2 linked regions of the Tamandua tetradactyla genome follow. The protein of the gene in region 1 purifies or fractionates together with the protein of each later gene. This does not show direct contact. Links are inferred from orthologs where the notes say so. Each region holds a gene or a part of one and is shown on either strand. Other genes may lie near its edges.

Region 1 (8,355 bases):
GGGGAGTTCAGTGGTAGAATTCTCATCTGCCATGCAGGAGACGTGGGTTCGATTCCCAGGCCGTGTTATTTCCCACCCCCACCACCTAAAAAATTCAACAAATGGTACTGCATTAGCGGGATAGTCACATGGAAAAAGAATGAAATGTGACCCCTATCATACAGTATAGTAAAAAAGACAAAAACTAAAACTAAATACTGTATAATATACTATAAAATTATAATTGAGTATACAAAAAGTATCCCATGAAATCTTAAAAAATGGTCTGTTCAGATGCTCTTCCAACTTTAAGAAGACTGAAACTCCCAAGTCAGCATTATAGATCATTTATCAACATCATCAGTCCCTAAACATTTTAGTAAAGTGGTTTTTATGACCATTCACAATAAAGATTAAAATAACTCAAGCATACCCAACTCAATGAAAGAATAAAACTGGCATGACTATCAGAAAGTATCTTGCTGACGCCACTAAGGAACTTTATATCTTGACATGCATATAAATCATATATACATACACACACACACACATATATATATACACACACAAACACATAAACACTTACATACATCATTTTACATATATAAAACAGGCCTAGACTCTCCAGCGGGGAATATATTTGCAAAGTTTCATCATAATCTAATTGCAGTCACTCTCAAGAAATAAGGATTAACACTGAAGAGTGTGTTCTTTAGAAGGTAAAAAGCAACTATCAAAGCATACAAACATTTAGCCACAACACTCACTATGTACTTGTTGCAAATAAGGACACTTAGATTACATTTCATCTAAAGAGAAAATAGGCCCTTTAGGTCAAATGGTAACAACATCAACTTCAGAGTACTCAATTTCAAATAAGAATTGCTTCCTTTTAAACTACCTAAAATTCATAAATTTAACAGTCAAGAATCAATATCAAACCATCTTGCTAAAGCCTCTGATACTCTGTTGCACACAACTATTTATATTACTATCAGCAAAAATACTTAGTTAACACTGACTCTTATAATCTAAGATAAAGACAAACTTCAGTAATTACTTGAAAAGCTAGTTTCTCTTTCTAAAAGTAACATTTGGTCCTAAAAGTCTAGAGAATAAGAAGGAAGTAACCACAATGACTTGCTCACATTAAATTATTTCTGTATAAACTTTTGGATTATGACCCCATGTCCTATAAAAGTTAAACAAAGTGACACTCATCTCATTAATGATAGTCCTTGAGGTAACAGTATCTCAAAATAATCACTTTCCAAGAATAACAAAATTAACATATACCTTCATATGTAAAAAAATAAAAATGAAGTAACAAATAACAGTTACAAAATAACTATATGTCTTGAAAAACATGAGTAAATTACAACACAGCATATCTACATACTCCTACAATTATCCACATATTCATGCAGAAGACAACAGTGGCAGAATTGATTTAATGGTGAGTTAACTTGGCTTCAAAAGTCTTACATGACTTTGTTAGGAACTTTACGCTCCACCATTTCATTTTTCTTAGGTTAATACAATATGGCTTTTCCCTGGGCCCTACATGCCTGTGAGAAATTCAGAAGGGAACAGGGTGGTAGAAGGAAAAAAGTCATTCAAGGCTTAAAACCTGCCATAATATATATGGATAACGTCAATAAAATAACCACAGTGAAATAAAACATGAAGCTGAACTTTTATCTGGCTTCATACTTAAGTGTTCCACACACACAAAAATAAATAAAACTTTTTAAAATTTTAATCTTAATTTGTAATACCAATGTTATTTCAGAAAAATTATGCAACATTGTTACGTCATTAGTTGGAAATAAGTTGCTTTCACCTGATAAGTCATGGTGAATAAGATCAGCAAAATTAGGATCTTCACCCCACCAAAATATCCACAATTCTCTTCTTCCAGGTCTTTGATCTCGCCGCCAGACACCAAGTACATCTGCCTTAAGGCAACGACTAAAACTGCTCAAAATGGGGTCTTCCTCTGTCACCGGAAACAGAATAGGGGCAGAAGTTGGACCTTGCCATACATATCTTTTCCATTTAATTCCTGTCAAGTCAGCCTGGAGGGAGAAAAATGCGATTTTTAAATTAGTGTACATTCACTCAAAGTCAAAAGTAATCACTACAGAAGTTCCTTAGTTTCATTAAGACATAGCAAATTTTCATAGCAATATGCTTAAGTGGCTAGAAAGTGGCTTAAAAGGACAAAAAAAGAGAGGTTTTATAATTCTGATAATTCAACAACCAAGAATTTAATGAAAAGGATAAAACCAATTAAAAAATAACTCAAGTAACTGAGTAACAAGTCAATAAATGTCACAAGTAGAAATAAAAGAAACAATATTAAATATTAAATATAAACATGTACTTTAACACTGCTCCAGAGAAAACACTTCTTCTCTGTCCTAAGTCTATAATAATCAATCAGATTTTTTCCTGTAGGGCCAAACCTTTAACTGAAAATTACTTCTTAAAGATTCTTTCCACGTTTACAGAAGTCATGACTCTAATGAAAAGACATATGAATGTTTCCTGAAAAAATTCTTGTTAATTCTTCACACACCCGTTTAGGAAAAGTCAAATAGCTGCTCAAAAAGAACTGTCAGATTGGTGCTAGTCTATCTTCAAAGAACCCGATCCTAAAAGTACCAAAAATAGACTGAGTTGGAGATGATAGAAATTTAAAACCTAACATGTTTGCCTTTTTACAACTGAAGAGATGCTGATTACTGGACACTACAAGAAAACCAACTTACTTTGCAAGGGGGAAAGACAATAAAGAGCTCCGTTTATCCAGAGAGAATTCAATAATTGTTCAATTTGACTTAAAGGTGCAAAGCATAAGGTGCCAAAAATGAAACTGCTGATACATGACTGGCAATTTAAACTAGTTGTGCTCCGCCCACTCAACTCACTTACCTATCATATACTCTTAATATTTCTCACAGTGCAGGAATAAAATGAAAAAAGAAAGTCACTCAAACTTTAAGTCACTGATGAAACTAAGCTATTGTCCAATTCTGGGTTAGACATTTGCAACAGTTGGTACTTTTGAAAGTCTTAACTGTTGGATGTTTCCAGACATGGACCAACCTACAGAATTGTCATTCTCAACGTCCAGCTTCCCCAGACTTTCTTTCTAATAAAACAAGGAGCAGCCGGCTCAAAATATTCTAAAAACGCAAGCAAAACAGGCAAATATAGAAACGTTTAGTTCAAAACCACACCTCCTCCGTTAGTCCCCTTCACGCTCACACAAACATAATATTCTAATAAAGGCAATATGGCTAGAAATTGTCAAAATGGCAAACTGTTTTCAAAGTTCAAAAAGAAAACATATGAAATGGCACCTACTGGTCTTTACACAAAGATCTGAACTCACTCAATGAGTGATAGTGTGACACATAATAAAAAACGTAAAGCCAAGACGAGCTTTTCATGCCCAAATTCTGGGGTCCTGTTTATTAGGGGGAAAACAGAATTACCAATGTGAGGAATAAAGGCGGTGAAAGACCAAGCAATAATGAAAACTGGAAGAAGGGATAACAGGATCGATAGGAAGAAAAGCAACAGTTTGGCAAAAAACCACTGAGGGAAATGTTAGCTTCCTGGCAAATAAGGAGACTCAAGTTAAAAGACAGACTATGGTGCAGAAAAATAGAAGACTCCGAAACAAGACAAGAAATAAAACCTGACACTCCTAAAAGAGCCCGGGACTGTGACTGAGCCAACGCCGTCTCCCCGGGTTGGGTGCGGGGCTTCGCCACGGCGCCGGCTCGACTGGGCCTACGCCGGGGACTCGGGCATCTGGATCAGACCCGGACCCCCTCCCCCACGGCCCAAGGGCGCACCTCGCGGCCCCTCCCCCACCGCCCCGCTCTTCGCGGCCCGGGCACTCACCAGGGAGAAGAGGTTACAGTGACAATCTTCCAGGCTGGCCCCGTTCGGCACGAAGGAGGAACTCATCGTCCCTCACAGCAGCCGCCGCCGGCGCCACAACCCACCATCCGCCATTACCGCCGCCTCCGACCAGAGAGAGAAACACAGACACCGGGGAGGGCGGGGGGGGGGGTGGTGGTTGGGGGGGGCGGTGGAAGAGGAGGCCGCCGGGCCGCCCGCCCTCCCCACCAACCCCCCCGCCGCCACGAGCAGCCCCCGCCGCCCGGCCGGCACCCAGCCCTCCCGGGCCGAGGTCCGGAGGCGGGAGGGCCGCGGCGCACTCACCCCGCCGGCCGGGCTGCGGCCGCCGCGGAACCCGCGGACGTTCGTCCCTCTCTGGGGGACAGAGGGGATGTGTGCCCCTTCCACAAGAAAAATAAATTACACAATAAATAATTAAAATCAGGTCCAAGACCGCAGAGCCCGAGCCCTGGAAGGTTCTCCCTGGCGGGGAGGCGGTCACAGAGGGGTGGGGAAGGCGAGAACCAGGAGAGAAGCTCAGGCCCCCGGCCCGGCAGCGGCGATGTCCTTAAACCCAGAGTCTCCTCAGTGGCGGAGGTGGTGGCGGCGTCTGCGGGCTCACACCATTCTCTGGCTGTGTCTTCGTGTCCTCCCTCGGCTGAGCCGGCCTAACATCTGCTCTCCTGCGGCCTCACTGCCTGGACGCCGTAGTCTCCCCCATTTTGTGGACCCAGCGGACGATGTTTTTTCCCCCTTTAATCCGAATTCACGGGTTTTCCCTTCGCTTTAATGGCGGCCACAGGGACCAGCTCGCCCTCTCTGCTCGCCCATTGGCCGTCTTGAGGTCACGTGGGCCTGGGCTCCGTGGGGAGGGGGAGAGAGAAGGGAGTAAGGGAGGGCCGGGACGCTTTCGGGGGAAGCAGTGAGCCCGGGGGACAGGGCAGCCAGCTGGTGGCTACTAAGATAGCGCCATCTGCTGGGTGCCCCAGCCAGTGTAAAATGATCCGGGTCCCAGGCCCAATCTTTCTTCCTGCAGTGGAATATACAGTATAGGAAGACTCACATCACAAATCTATGAGAATTACGTGGAAATCAGTTTGAATTCTTTGGAAGAGAAAGTGTTGCAAAAATTCCAAGGCGTTCTCATTTATTCCAGGAGGCCGCTGGGGTGCAGAGGAAACCCCTGGGCTTGGGAATCAGGACAATCTGGATGGAGACAGAACTCAGCAAGCTAAAAGTCGTGTGATGTTAAGGAAGAAACATACGCGGAACAATAAAGCTTTGTGGTTACTGGCTTGGAAATTAGATCTATACTGCACTGAACCTTGAGCAAGTCGCTTACCTCTTTGTGTCTCAATTTTCTCATCTGTAAAATGGGGGAAATATCGCCTCTATCTCATAGAATTGTTGTGATGATTAAATACATGTAATGCACATCGGCAGTGCTGGGTACAGACAAGCTTGTTAAGAGTTAGCTACTATTGCTGTCATCATTACCTCATGCGGCTTTTGGAAGGAATAACCGAACCAGTGTATATGACTATACACTAGAGTGCAGTCTATGTGAGATCCGGGACTTTTTGTTTACTGCTGCATCCTTGGTACCTAAAAAGTTTTCTAGCACACAGTTGGTGCTTGACATCTGTAAATTCACGAATGAATGAAAAGTAAGACGTGGAAACCAAATAAAATGTTAGTTCCCTTTCTCATAGAACGCACAATTACACTTCAATGTAGGTGTTCAAAACATTTTACCTGAGAGTTTGAGTTTTAAATAGAGGGTTACAAGAGAGAAAAGAAAAAGAGATGATTCAGAAGTTAGAAACGTCAGTAGACTTAGAACTAACTCTAATTTAAGTCATAATTGTCTCTAAAATAAATGGTGTACTCTTCCATGCCCCTTCTTCCTCAAGGGAATTAAAAACATTCCTTCATCCACCCATTTGTTCATTCATAGTGGTTAAAGCCCATATCTGGGAGTTAAAAACCTGTAAAAAATGTTCTGCCACTTATTAAATTGACCTTGCTTAATTTCTCTTATTCTCAGTTTTCTCGTTGTACAATGGGAATAATAAAAGTACTTCCCTTCTGAAATGGTTGGTGAATGAAACAAGGAAATTTTAGTGCTTGCCTTAGCACTTACTAAATGTTAGCTACTAATACAGTTTTTAAATTGTCATTGGGCACCTGCTGGCTCAATTGAGTATCTTCCTGACCTGTGCTAAGCCCGGGATACAAATCTGAATACTATACCTGCCTGTCCCTCAAGACTCCTGAAAAGAGGCAATAAAGGAAACATTTCTTAGAAAATAATATAAAATACAATGAGAATAATTGCTTGAAGGAGGTATGTATCAACTATGGCACAACAGGAGCGCTGGAGGAGGAGCACCAAAGTCTGAGAAGGTGTCATAAAGCAGGTAGCATTTGAACTCAGATTTGAAGGATAAAACGAATTCTTATAAAGCCCCTTGAAGCAGTTAAATCTTATTAAACCCAATTCAAATCTAAAGGTCACATATCAAAGCCAATTACACAACCAGGACTAATTCAATCCAGGAGCTCAAATCAACTGAGGTCAGATCCTTCCTCACTGAATATCAACACCAGGAGCCAGCAATCCCCAGACCAAATAAGGTGAGGGGCCTTCTGTTCATCTCTCCTCTAGTCTCTTTCCAGAAAGAATCCACAGACCTTTGTTCCCACTGCTTTTATCAGTTTAAAATAGGTTTTCTCTCATGTTATTTTAGCCAAAATTTATCTATTTCTTAGAAGTTTCCCTCTCCATTGCCCCTATTCCCAACTTTGAGTATCTTCCTCTAGAACCCTAAAGGAGGAAGAATTTGCCTGAAACCTACCTGGTAGGAGGTAACGTTTGATTGACCTTTCATTTGAGCGTCAATCTTCTCAAAATGAAGGGAGAGACAAGGAAGGAGGAAGACCCAGAGGAAAAAATATGAGGAAGGATCATGGAAAGGAACAGGAGAGAGCAAGAAGGGAGAAATGAAGTAGTGGAGAGGGACCCCCATGCTAAGGGGAATGGGCACATCCTGGGGAAGAGGAGAAGAGAATAACAGCAGCACACAGCGAGCATATCAGTAACCATCAAGATTCTATTAACATGACAATTCATGTGATTTAAGGAGTAATTAAAATAAATAAAAACAATACATGTACATTGTCAAAAGTGTGAAAAGTATAGAAAAGTGTAAAGATGAGAACACAAGTGTCCATTACCAAAAAATGCCCATGTCACCATTCATAATTAGACATGTATTAACATTTTGATGTATTTCCTTTCTGACTTTTTCCCATGCACATTTTTACTAGATGATTGAGGTCATATGTTTATGTATATATTTTTACTACACATATTTATTGACAATCTAGTATGTGTCAGGTCATATATGAACAAGGCCCAGGATATATAAGAAGCTAAGAATGTTGCTAGATATAACACTTTGACATTTGGACCACCTAGGGTCAAATTCTATATCATGCTTATTAGCTCTTTGGCTTCAATTAATCCATCTGCAAAAAGTAGATGTAATAATAACATCTAAATGTTAGTGTTGTGAAGACTAAAAGGGATAATCTCCAAATAAAATAGGGGAGCCAATCAGGAATTTTAAGGTGAATTTTAGCAGTCACTTTAGGTTGATAATCACCTACTGTCTTCTACACCTATTGAGATGTGGATTTGCTCAGTGATCTACATTTAAAACTGTTCTTTATCTTTCAGCCTTTAAGTGACTCCTTTCTGAATGGCACAGTGGAAGCAGGGGCTTGCAAACTATCGCCTGGCCTGCAGGAAGCGTGACAGAGTTGCATCACCTGAGGTCTGAAAAAGTCCATGCAAAGGGCAATATCTGCTCTTAGAACTAATGCTTCCTACCTGATTCTGAAAAATCCCAGGTTCCAGAGCAATGCTGTCCAAGAGAAATATGATAACAGCTACTTAAGTAATTTTAACTTTTTCAGTAGCCACACTAGAAAGGTAAATGAAATAGGTGAAATTAATTTTAATTACTATCATTTATTTAACCCAATAGATCAGTAATAAAATCACTTCACATGTGATCAATATAAAAAAAAATTGAGATAGTTTGCATTCTTTTTTTTAGGGAGAGGGGCTACCAAACCTTCAAAATTCACGTATATTTTACACTTACAGCACATTTCAATTTAGCCTAGCCACATTTCAAATGCCCTGTGACTAGAGGCTACTATACAAAATAGTGCAAGTCTCAAGTCAAAAGCTGAAAGCTAAAGACCAATTAAACCATGGAGTGAGTGGTCTTGAGCCTGGAGACGATATTCTCTTAAGGTCATGTTAATCATGTAATATTGTACCTAATTCAATAGAAAAAAAAAGCTGAGGAATTACAAAACATTTTATTTAGTGAACACACAGTCACTATTTTGTTGAATATAAAAATAAGCAGACCCATGAGAGAA
Region 2 (8,627 bases), on another chromosome or scaffold:
GACTAAATGAGTATCTGCTAAATTGAACAACAGCCACTGTTGGGTATAACTTTTCAGACATACCACTACCCTATTGGAATCACATTTGTCTGAAATGTATTGATGAAAGAACTTTTTAAACAATATTCCTGTAATAATCCAAACAAAAAGAACTTCCAACTTGAGAAACAGGGATTTGAGATTTGAAACCATTAATTGTTAACATGTGCCTTTTCTTACCAATGTTAAAAGAAAAATGTTTACAAACTTTTGTTCATACTAAAAAACCTCTAGAAATATTCTAAAATTGTTTCTCTTCAAGAGTAATTTTTAAGTCTGATTTTTAAAACAGGACATTTGGATCAAAAGACTCTTTTCAAAAAAGAAAAGTGGGGGTGGGAATAAATGGGGGTGGAACAAATAACATTTGTATTAAAGGTGAAAACCCTAGACAGAGATCTAGGTTATAAATTTGTATAGCATAATTTATATGGCCTAAATTAAAGCCACATTTCAAGAGAAAAACTATTTTAAGATTTTGTAAACTATAGTATCAAATTTTAAGCAGAGGCTCTTCTAATGATATTTTCTATTAAGTTACTTCTTCCAATGATTCGTCTACAGACCTGAACAATTTTTTAACTATATATTATATACAACAGAATAATTTCTCTTTAACAACACCATGTGATTTCTCTTGTTTCCTAAAATAGCATTATACATTTTTCTGAGTCAACCAAAATAAAATCTGGAAACATCATGATCAGGGTGTAAAATCCTTTACTCAGGAATTCTGCATCAGTTCAGAGCCATCACTAAAAACTTTCTGTTCTTTCAAATAGCTGAAATCATAAAACTAATAAAATAAAAAAATAACGTCCTATGAGCCCACAAGAGATGTGTTTACTGTAATGCCTCAACTCTCAACCACATTCTAGATCCAGGAAAAAAATGTATGGTTTCTCTAAAATGCAATATAGTGATTTAAGCTAATGCTTCTAAATCCTAGTTAGAAAAAAAATAAAAGCATATTGTTTTGAAGATACATAAACTAATCTGCTGTGATGAAACCTTGTTAATCTCTTAAAGCAACTTTATTATTTCTAATCAAATAAATTTCACTCAAGAAGGAAGTGTATTTGAATCAAGGACTTTATTAAAGGAAAAATATTCAAAAAGGACAAACAGAGGCGGGAATTAAATTATCTGGGTTTTTTGTTGTAAGTCTGTGCTATACAGATACAACTCTGAATTAAAATTTTAAAAATTTTAATTTTTCTGAAAAGTTTGATAAAAAGAAGCTAACAAAAAATTAAAATACATTATAAAATTCTAGACAATATATACTACAAAGCATGTGTGAAAAGAACCACCTTTTGATTTATTTTGTAACATCAATGTCCAAATAAGAAAACTTGATGTGCTTTCCCCAAATATATATGACTCCTACAAAAATAACAGTGTAACGAGTGGATATTCAAAAAACAAAACTAAATTAAAAAAAAATAAAATGAATATCATATTCCATGATATTCATTCAAGACTACCTGGTGATTAAAAGAATTGAGAAAAGTTTACAAATAACTGAGTAGTATAGGGCCTCTGACATGAGAAAAAAGATATCTGCAAAAATAATAGTCCATTACATTTGTATAGTGCTTTGTATTTTCCAACATACTTTCACAGAAACCACTTTCTCAAGTGTCAAGTCTCATAATTCCTGACACCAATAATCAATCTAGACGGGGTAAGGAGTGCAAACGCCTCCCAACACTTTATGATAACACCCTTTATAAAGTTATGTTCAATAGCACGATCGTGTGCACACACGCAGGAACATACGTACATACATACACACACACACACACACACACACACTCTTCCTACTTTGGTCCTAGCATTCATAAATCAACCATATCAAATTGCTACAGAATGCACAGAACGATAAACAACACTACAAATCTACTAATGTCAAAGCGGCTTGTAATCAGTTTATTCAGAAATGTTTTTATTCAGAAATTCTTTAAAACTCTCCTTCCTACAGTATGACCGAATGTAGAGAATAAGGGGGCCAGACAGATCTTTCTTGGCTCCCTAACCTGGGGGAGGGGAATTCCTGCAAGGATTGGACATAGGATAACAACTGGTTTAAACCTACATTTCGCAGCCAAGGACTTGGTTCCACCTGTCCTGCAGTAAGAGCTCGTCTGCCCTCAGGATGTACGTATGTCAACTGATAACTCAGCTCATCTCCTAAGGGAACATTCCTAGGGGGTTCTACAGTTCTCCCTAAACTTCCAAGAAAACAAAGGTTTAGGCCCAACTCTGTCGCCCCGTGTTTCTTTCTCGTTACTCTAGGTGCCCGGTAAGCTCCAGCTCGCAGTCACCTGGCAGAGGATAGAGTGGAGGACAGAAGAGCACCCAAAGTGGGGGAGAATGGAGGGGGGGGGAGCGGGGGTACCAGAGAACCTGGACCAACTCTGAAATTCTGGCGCACAAAATCGGGTTAGTCTCTAGGGAGGTCCCACATTCGAGGGAACGTGCGGAACTCTGAATGCTTGAGAATGCGAAATCTGAGGCGGGCGAGGAGGGGTCAAGAAGTCACCGGGTACACGACTGGGTCAGAAAGGGCTGTGCTGAAGGCTCAACTCGGGCAGGCTGGCCCCCGGGGCGGAGGTCGTGTCTGGAGGTGGCGATGCCGACGGGTCAGACCCCGGAGGCTGGCGGGGACCCCGGCGCTCGGCCGCCCGGCCGGCTCCGCTACGAGGTTTCAAACCGCCGCCCCCGGGAGGGGCTCAGCCGATTGGAAGTTCAACAACGACCGTCACCAACCCAGGGCCGGAGCGGCAACTCCTTGGCGGAGCTCTCCCCGCCCTCCGCGTCTCCCCAGGAGACCAGACCCCACAAACTCCACCTCCGACCGAGGTTCTAACTCGAGTCCGCCGCGGCTCCAGGCACGCGCGGAGAGCGCCCTCCGGTACCGCACCGACGGCCCCCGACAGGAGTGCGCCGCCGGAGCTCGAGGGGCGCGACGGGGCCTCGCGGGAAGGCGCGCAGAGGAAGCCTCCCTCAGAGTCCGCTCCGGGACGCGGCCCGGCGACCACCTCCGCCGCGCCCCGCGGCACAGCCCGACAGGGCTCCCACCCACCTATCCCGCCGGGTCGCGGGCAGGGCGAGGACCCGAGCGAGCCTACTCCCCCCGCCCCTGCTCTTACCCATCTTTCCGCCTCGCCTTGTAGACGTGCCCGTAGGTGCCGCGTCCCACTTTGCACCCTTCGTACTCAAACAAATCCTCCACCCGCTCCCGCTCCGCCGCCAGCTTCGCCTTGAAATCATAATCCATTGTCTGTTTCCCCCATAGAGGCACCGGGACGCGGGGGCCGCCGCCGCTCAGTCCCTCCTCCTCTCCTCCTCCTCCCCCCGCGACCGCCGCTCCACTTCTCCAACAGCCGCCTCTCGGGCGCGCGCGCGCGCGCCGCCCGCCACTCCACGGTCCGCCTTCAGCAAGGGGTTCCTCGGCGGCCGCGGCAGCCACCTCCTCCACCCCCTCCTCCTCCTCCTCCTCCTCCTCCGCGGCGGCGGCGGCTCCCGCAGGCAGCCCCAGTCCCGCCTCCCCCCTTCATTTCCTTGTTTTGGAACCTGGTGGGCCGCGCCACGGCTTTCTCGAGCTCATTAACAAACCAGCCCGCCCCCCGAGGCCGCGAAGACTCCTGGGAAATGCAGTCCCGAAGGCCTCAGGAGCGACGGAGGCTTGTCCCGCGAAAGAAATACAATTCCCATGCTGTCTTGGGCTTTCACAGCCTCGCCCCCAACAAGGCACGCACGCCTGCGCACTGGGACCGCCCCACCCCCTCAGGTAGCCGTGCACTCCCAGTTCCTGTGAAGGTGGAGAGCTGAAAGTTGCGGTGTATTATTTCACCGCGGTCCTATGGGTACTGACCTCAAGATAGCCCTTGTTCTGGTGGAAGTGTCATACTCCACTATGACTGTCCCCGGGCGAGTAGAAGAGTGGAAAGTATTTAACAAGTGCCTTGCTCAGAACTTTGCTCCGATGGTTTGGGAGACGAGTAGTGTGGTTGGAACAGTTGTACAGCAGATTGTTTTTGCTACGGCATTTGGTCCGCCTGTTGCCCCGCCACCGTCCGGCCGCTCATTGGCGGAGACTAGAGAATAACGTCCTTGTTGGTGCCTGGGTATCCCCAGTCTTTGGCTTCTTTCCCGCTCGTGATTGGAAATTCGTTGTGCTGAGTTCTTCCTGATAGGCTAATCTTTTTTTCTTTACAATGCAAAAACCGTATTTCAAATGCGGAATTCACAGCGGTTTCCTAGTTGTTGCCTTGGTTTGAGGAGAAGATATAACTTCTAAGCCCCAGTAGCCAATCACCCTATTCTAGGCGCTGTAGTCGGTCCCCTCCTCGCATCACCCACCTTCCCCAACATCTGCGATTCCCGTAGTGCCTGAAGGATGCAGCGTTTTAAATAACAATCGTTTTGGTTGTATAGAAAAGGGGGTTTTATGGTGTATGCAAAGTGATGAGGGTGTCCTAGAAAGTTCAAGGATGTCTCTTTAATCGGTGTGAACTATGATTTATTTCATTACTACGTCCATGAAATCGTGTATGTTTGGCATACAGATGAACATAAACGTGATAGGTGCTAGGATAGGATTCAGGTACCGCATTCAGTGGGAACCCAAAGGAAGGAATAGTCAATGCTAACTCAAGTGGTAAAGAAAGCGAAGAGTGAGTCCTGCCTACTAAGTTTTAAAAGAAGCCTGGAAAACTAGAGGGAGGAAACAGGATCGTTTATTTACAACAGCTCCTCCCTAGGAAACTTCTTCAGCTCTTGATGATATTTGCAATCAAGTAGTATCTGAGTTTCTCTTATTGCCTGGCACTGTAATCAGTGCTGGAGATACCAGATGAAAACTGTTCTTTTCCTGACTGGGAACTAAAATCTTTTGAAGTAACATAAAAGCATTAAAAAGCTGTTTCAGGGGGTATGGGGATTAATGCTTAATGGATGTAGGGTTTTTGTTTGAGAAAATGGAAAAGTTCGAGTAATGAAAAGTGGTGCGTGGATCACAATATTGTGAATGTGATTAAGTTCATTAAATGGTGTGGGTGGGAGTGGTTGCGATGGAAAAGTTTATGTTTTATATATATATAATATATTTATATATATACCCACAATTAAAAGAGAAGAAAGTGCAACTAAAGAGACTGACAAATGCAGTACATGATCCAGGATGGGACCTAGCAAGGAAGGAGAAAAGGCCCTAAGGGACATTAATGGGACATATAAAAAATGTAGAATATAGACTAAGATTTATATCAATGTTAAATTTCTTGAACTTGGTTTTTGCACTTAAGCTAGTTACATAATGAATACCTTTGTTCTTGGGAAATGTACATAGTCATATTAAATGTTGGGGGAACATGAGAATACAACCTACACTGAAGTGTACAGAGAATGAATAGGTAGGTGTGTAGGTAGGTTGATAGTTAGAGAGATAGATAAATTTAATAATATAGTAAATGTTGCAAAATTTTACATCTTGGTATGAGTTGTAGAAGTATATTGGGTTTCTCTGTATGGGGTGCATATTATTTTTGTAACTGCTCTGTAAGTTGGAAAGTATTTCAAAATTTAAAAATAATAATAAATAAACCGTGGGTACAAACAGTAATAGGAGTTCTTAAATCTAGGTGCGTCGGGGTAGGTGTCACAAAGGAGGTAGTTTTGAGCTAAAATTTAAAGTTTGGGTAGGGCTTTGCCTGGCAGACAAATGAGGGAGTAGGAAGCAGGGGAATTATTTCAGAAAGAGCAGCAATACATATATTATGAGACAGCATATCTTCTAAGATAAGCAAAAAGTTGAAATAAAACAGACCAAGGCAGGAAAATGAGGTGGATAGGAAGAGAGATGGGATTCTCTGGGCTTGGAGTTGGTTTGCCTCAACATGGCTAAATGCACCAAGCTGGTTGGAATGGTAGGTACATGCTGGACGCGGATGGCCCCTCCCTCAGGAAAATGGTGAAGAAAGTTGAAATCAGCTAGCACGCTAAGCGCACATGTTTCTTCTGTGGTAAAACCAAAATAAACAGAAGAGCTGTGAGGAGCTTTCAGTGTGGTTCTTGCTTGAAAACAGTCACCGGAGGTGCTTGAGTCACCGTGAGAGGACTGGCGGAGATGAAAGACATTGGAAGCTCAACAATTTGAAACATCTCTAGTCTGTAATAAATGAGTTAATTTATGTTAAAATAAAAAAAAAGAAGTCAAGGAAGAGAAGACTGGACAGATAGATGATTAGAAGTCAAGTTATGACAAGGTAGATTTAGCAAGCAGAGGTGTAAGATTTCATAGGCAATATGGGAGGTATTAAAGACATTTGAGCTAAGGAGTAATGTAAATCAGTCTTTTGTATTCAGAAGATCTTTCTGACAACACTGTTCCAGACAAACTGAAGGAAGGTAAGAAGAAAGTTATTACATTAGTGTTTGGGCCCAGACTGAGTCACACAGAGCACAGGCTGGTGCTGATGCAAGACTGAAAAACATGCCAGGCACAGACATATATGTAGATTTATTGGGATTTAAAAACAGGAGAGGGTCTCAGTGGTGGCTGGTTTGAAGAAATAGCACTCCACAAGGAATAGGGTGTGTGTGTGTGGGTTCATACACACACACACACAAAGAGTAATATATGATTTTAGAACAAAGACATTCCATGTAGTATGAGGCCATTGAGTCTCTAGAATAATCATTGAAGGGGCCTAAGAGCTGATGTTTTACTAAGTTTAGTGTTTAAGACTCAGATACAATCAATACTGTTTTTACATCTGTGGTTACATTCCTCCCCCTCCAGGGAGATTGTTTACTTTCTTGACCTTTGTTCTCTCCTAAAGCAGGTGTATTAGGGCTGTTTAGGAGGGGGGCTGGGCCCTGGGCCACCACAGTTAGTGCTGATTGAATACAAAGTCTGAACCATAAAATATGAAAAAAAAGGCAGATACCAGGATTATGTAGGAATAAAATTCAGTAGACTTGGTAGGTAATTAAATGTGGGGTTAAAAAAACATGGAAGAATCCAAGATAACTTCTAGGATTTTTAATTCAGTAATCAGATTTTACCTTTGGAAAGGAGTAGGAGGAATTTCTGAGAGAAAGATGATGAGTTTGGTTTCGTACATCGTGACTTTGAAGTGCCTGCTTGGCATCAAGATAGAAGTAACAGTTAAGCAGGGGAATAGTTTTACCTGTAAATCAGAGATCAAGCCTAAATGTGTAGGGCTTTGGAAGTCATCAGTGTATGATGGTGGAGCATGGAGATCTTTCAGTTGCTTGCTCTATGTAAACATGGGATTTTTGCATTCATTATATCATTTAAATGTGAAAATATCCCTATAAAATATGTTCAAAATATCCCTATAAGATGTGTTCTACTGTTTTTCCAATTTTATATGTGAACAAACAGACAACTAGTAAACTGCACAGCTAGGACTTACTGAATATATTCTTGGGGTAAATGGAAAGTCATAAATGTGTAGGTAGGAAAAAAAATCAAATACGGATTATAAAAAGCTTAATTACAAACTCAAAAAGTTTGATAACACTCTTTGTTATCAAGAATATGGGGAAATGGATACTTTCCTGTGTTGTCAGTGAAAGTGTACATCACTAAATGTATGTATATATCAATATGTATAAGTCTTTGATTTTAGCAACATCTATCAAAATTAAAAATGTATGTGTGCTAAGACCCTGTAATTCCATCTAGGAATTTATACTACATTTATTCTCCTGCGGTCTAAATTTGCCCAGCTGCTGTGATAAATACCACACAATGAATTGGCTTAAACAAGGGACATTGGAATTTCTTTTCTCTTAGTTTCAGACACTAGAAGTCCCAAATCAAGGTGTCAGCAAGGCCAGGCTTCATCTCCAAAGTCTGTAGTGTTCTGGTCTTAGCTTTTTGCAATCCTTGGGGTTCCTTGGCTTGCATCCCTGCCCCGCCCCCCACCTGCCCATCGCATGGTGATGTCCTCGATCTCTTTGTGCCTGGTTGCCACTGTCTTCCAGCTTCTCCTTGTCTCTTTTCTTCTGCTTTAAAAGGACTCTATGAAAATGGATTAAGCCCCACCCTAATTCATTTGGGCCACATCTTAACTAAAACTAACATTTTTTACAGGTCCTATTTATAAATGGGTTCATAGCCACAGGAATATGTATTAAGATAAAGAACTTGTTTCTGTTGGGGTCCATAATTCAATCTACCACATCTGTGATGTGCCTTTCAGTTCCCCTTTAGTACTAAAAGAAGAATTCTTCCCAGGTGTTGTACTGCTACAGATAGTCCTCAGTTGACAGCACTCTTGTGTTAAAAGGGGAAATGTTAGGTTGTTTATATGGTAACAAAATAAAAATTAAGAAAAAAAATCCAGTGAACCCTACATTAAACCATGGACTATAGTTAATAGTACAGTTATAAAAATGTGCTTTCATCAATTGTAACAAATGTCGAGCATGAATGCAAGATGTTAATAATAGGGTGGTATATGGTAATCCTGTATTTTATGCATTATTCTGTAAACACACAGCTTCTCTAATAGAGTAAAGATATGTATTTTTTTTAATTATTTAAAAAA

The links.
Region 2: the proteins of MED13 (region 1) and CDK19 purify together in Homo sapiens (affinity purification with mass spectrometry; 6 studies listed by BioGRID and IntAct, counting the BioPlex papers as one, with this or other methods). This does not show direct contact. The link is inferred for Tamandua tetradactyla from reciprocal best matches to the Homo sapiens genes MED13 and CDK19.

Annotation. Positions count from the first base shown.
Region 1 is NC_135332.1:41,327,568-41,335,922, reverse strand, and holds the start of MED13 (mediator of RNA polymerase II transcription subunit 13), read right to left. Parts: upstream 4,045-8,355; 5' UTR 3,964-4,044; coding exon 3,898-3,963; intron 2,058-3,897; coding exon 1,823-2,057; intron 1-1,822. UniProt on the Homo sapiens protein: Component of the Mediator complex, a coactivator involved in the regulated transcription of nearly all RNA polymerase II-dependent genes.
Region 2 is NC_135331.1:169,435,708-169,444,334, forward strand, and holds the start of CDK19 (cyclin-dependent kinase 19), read right to left. Parts: upstream 3,521-8,627; 5' UTR 3,323-3,520; coding exon 3,195-3,322; intron 1-3,194.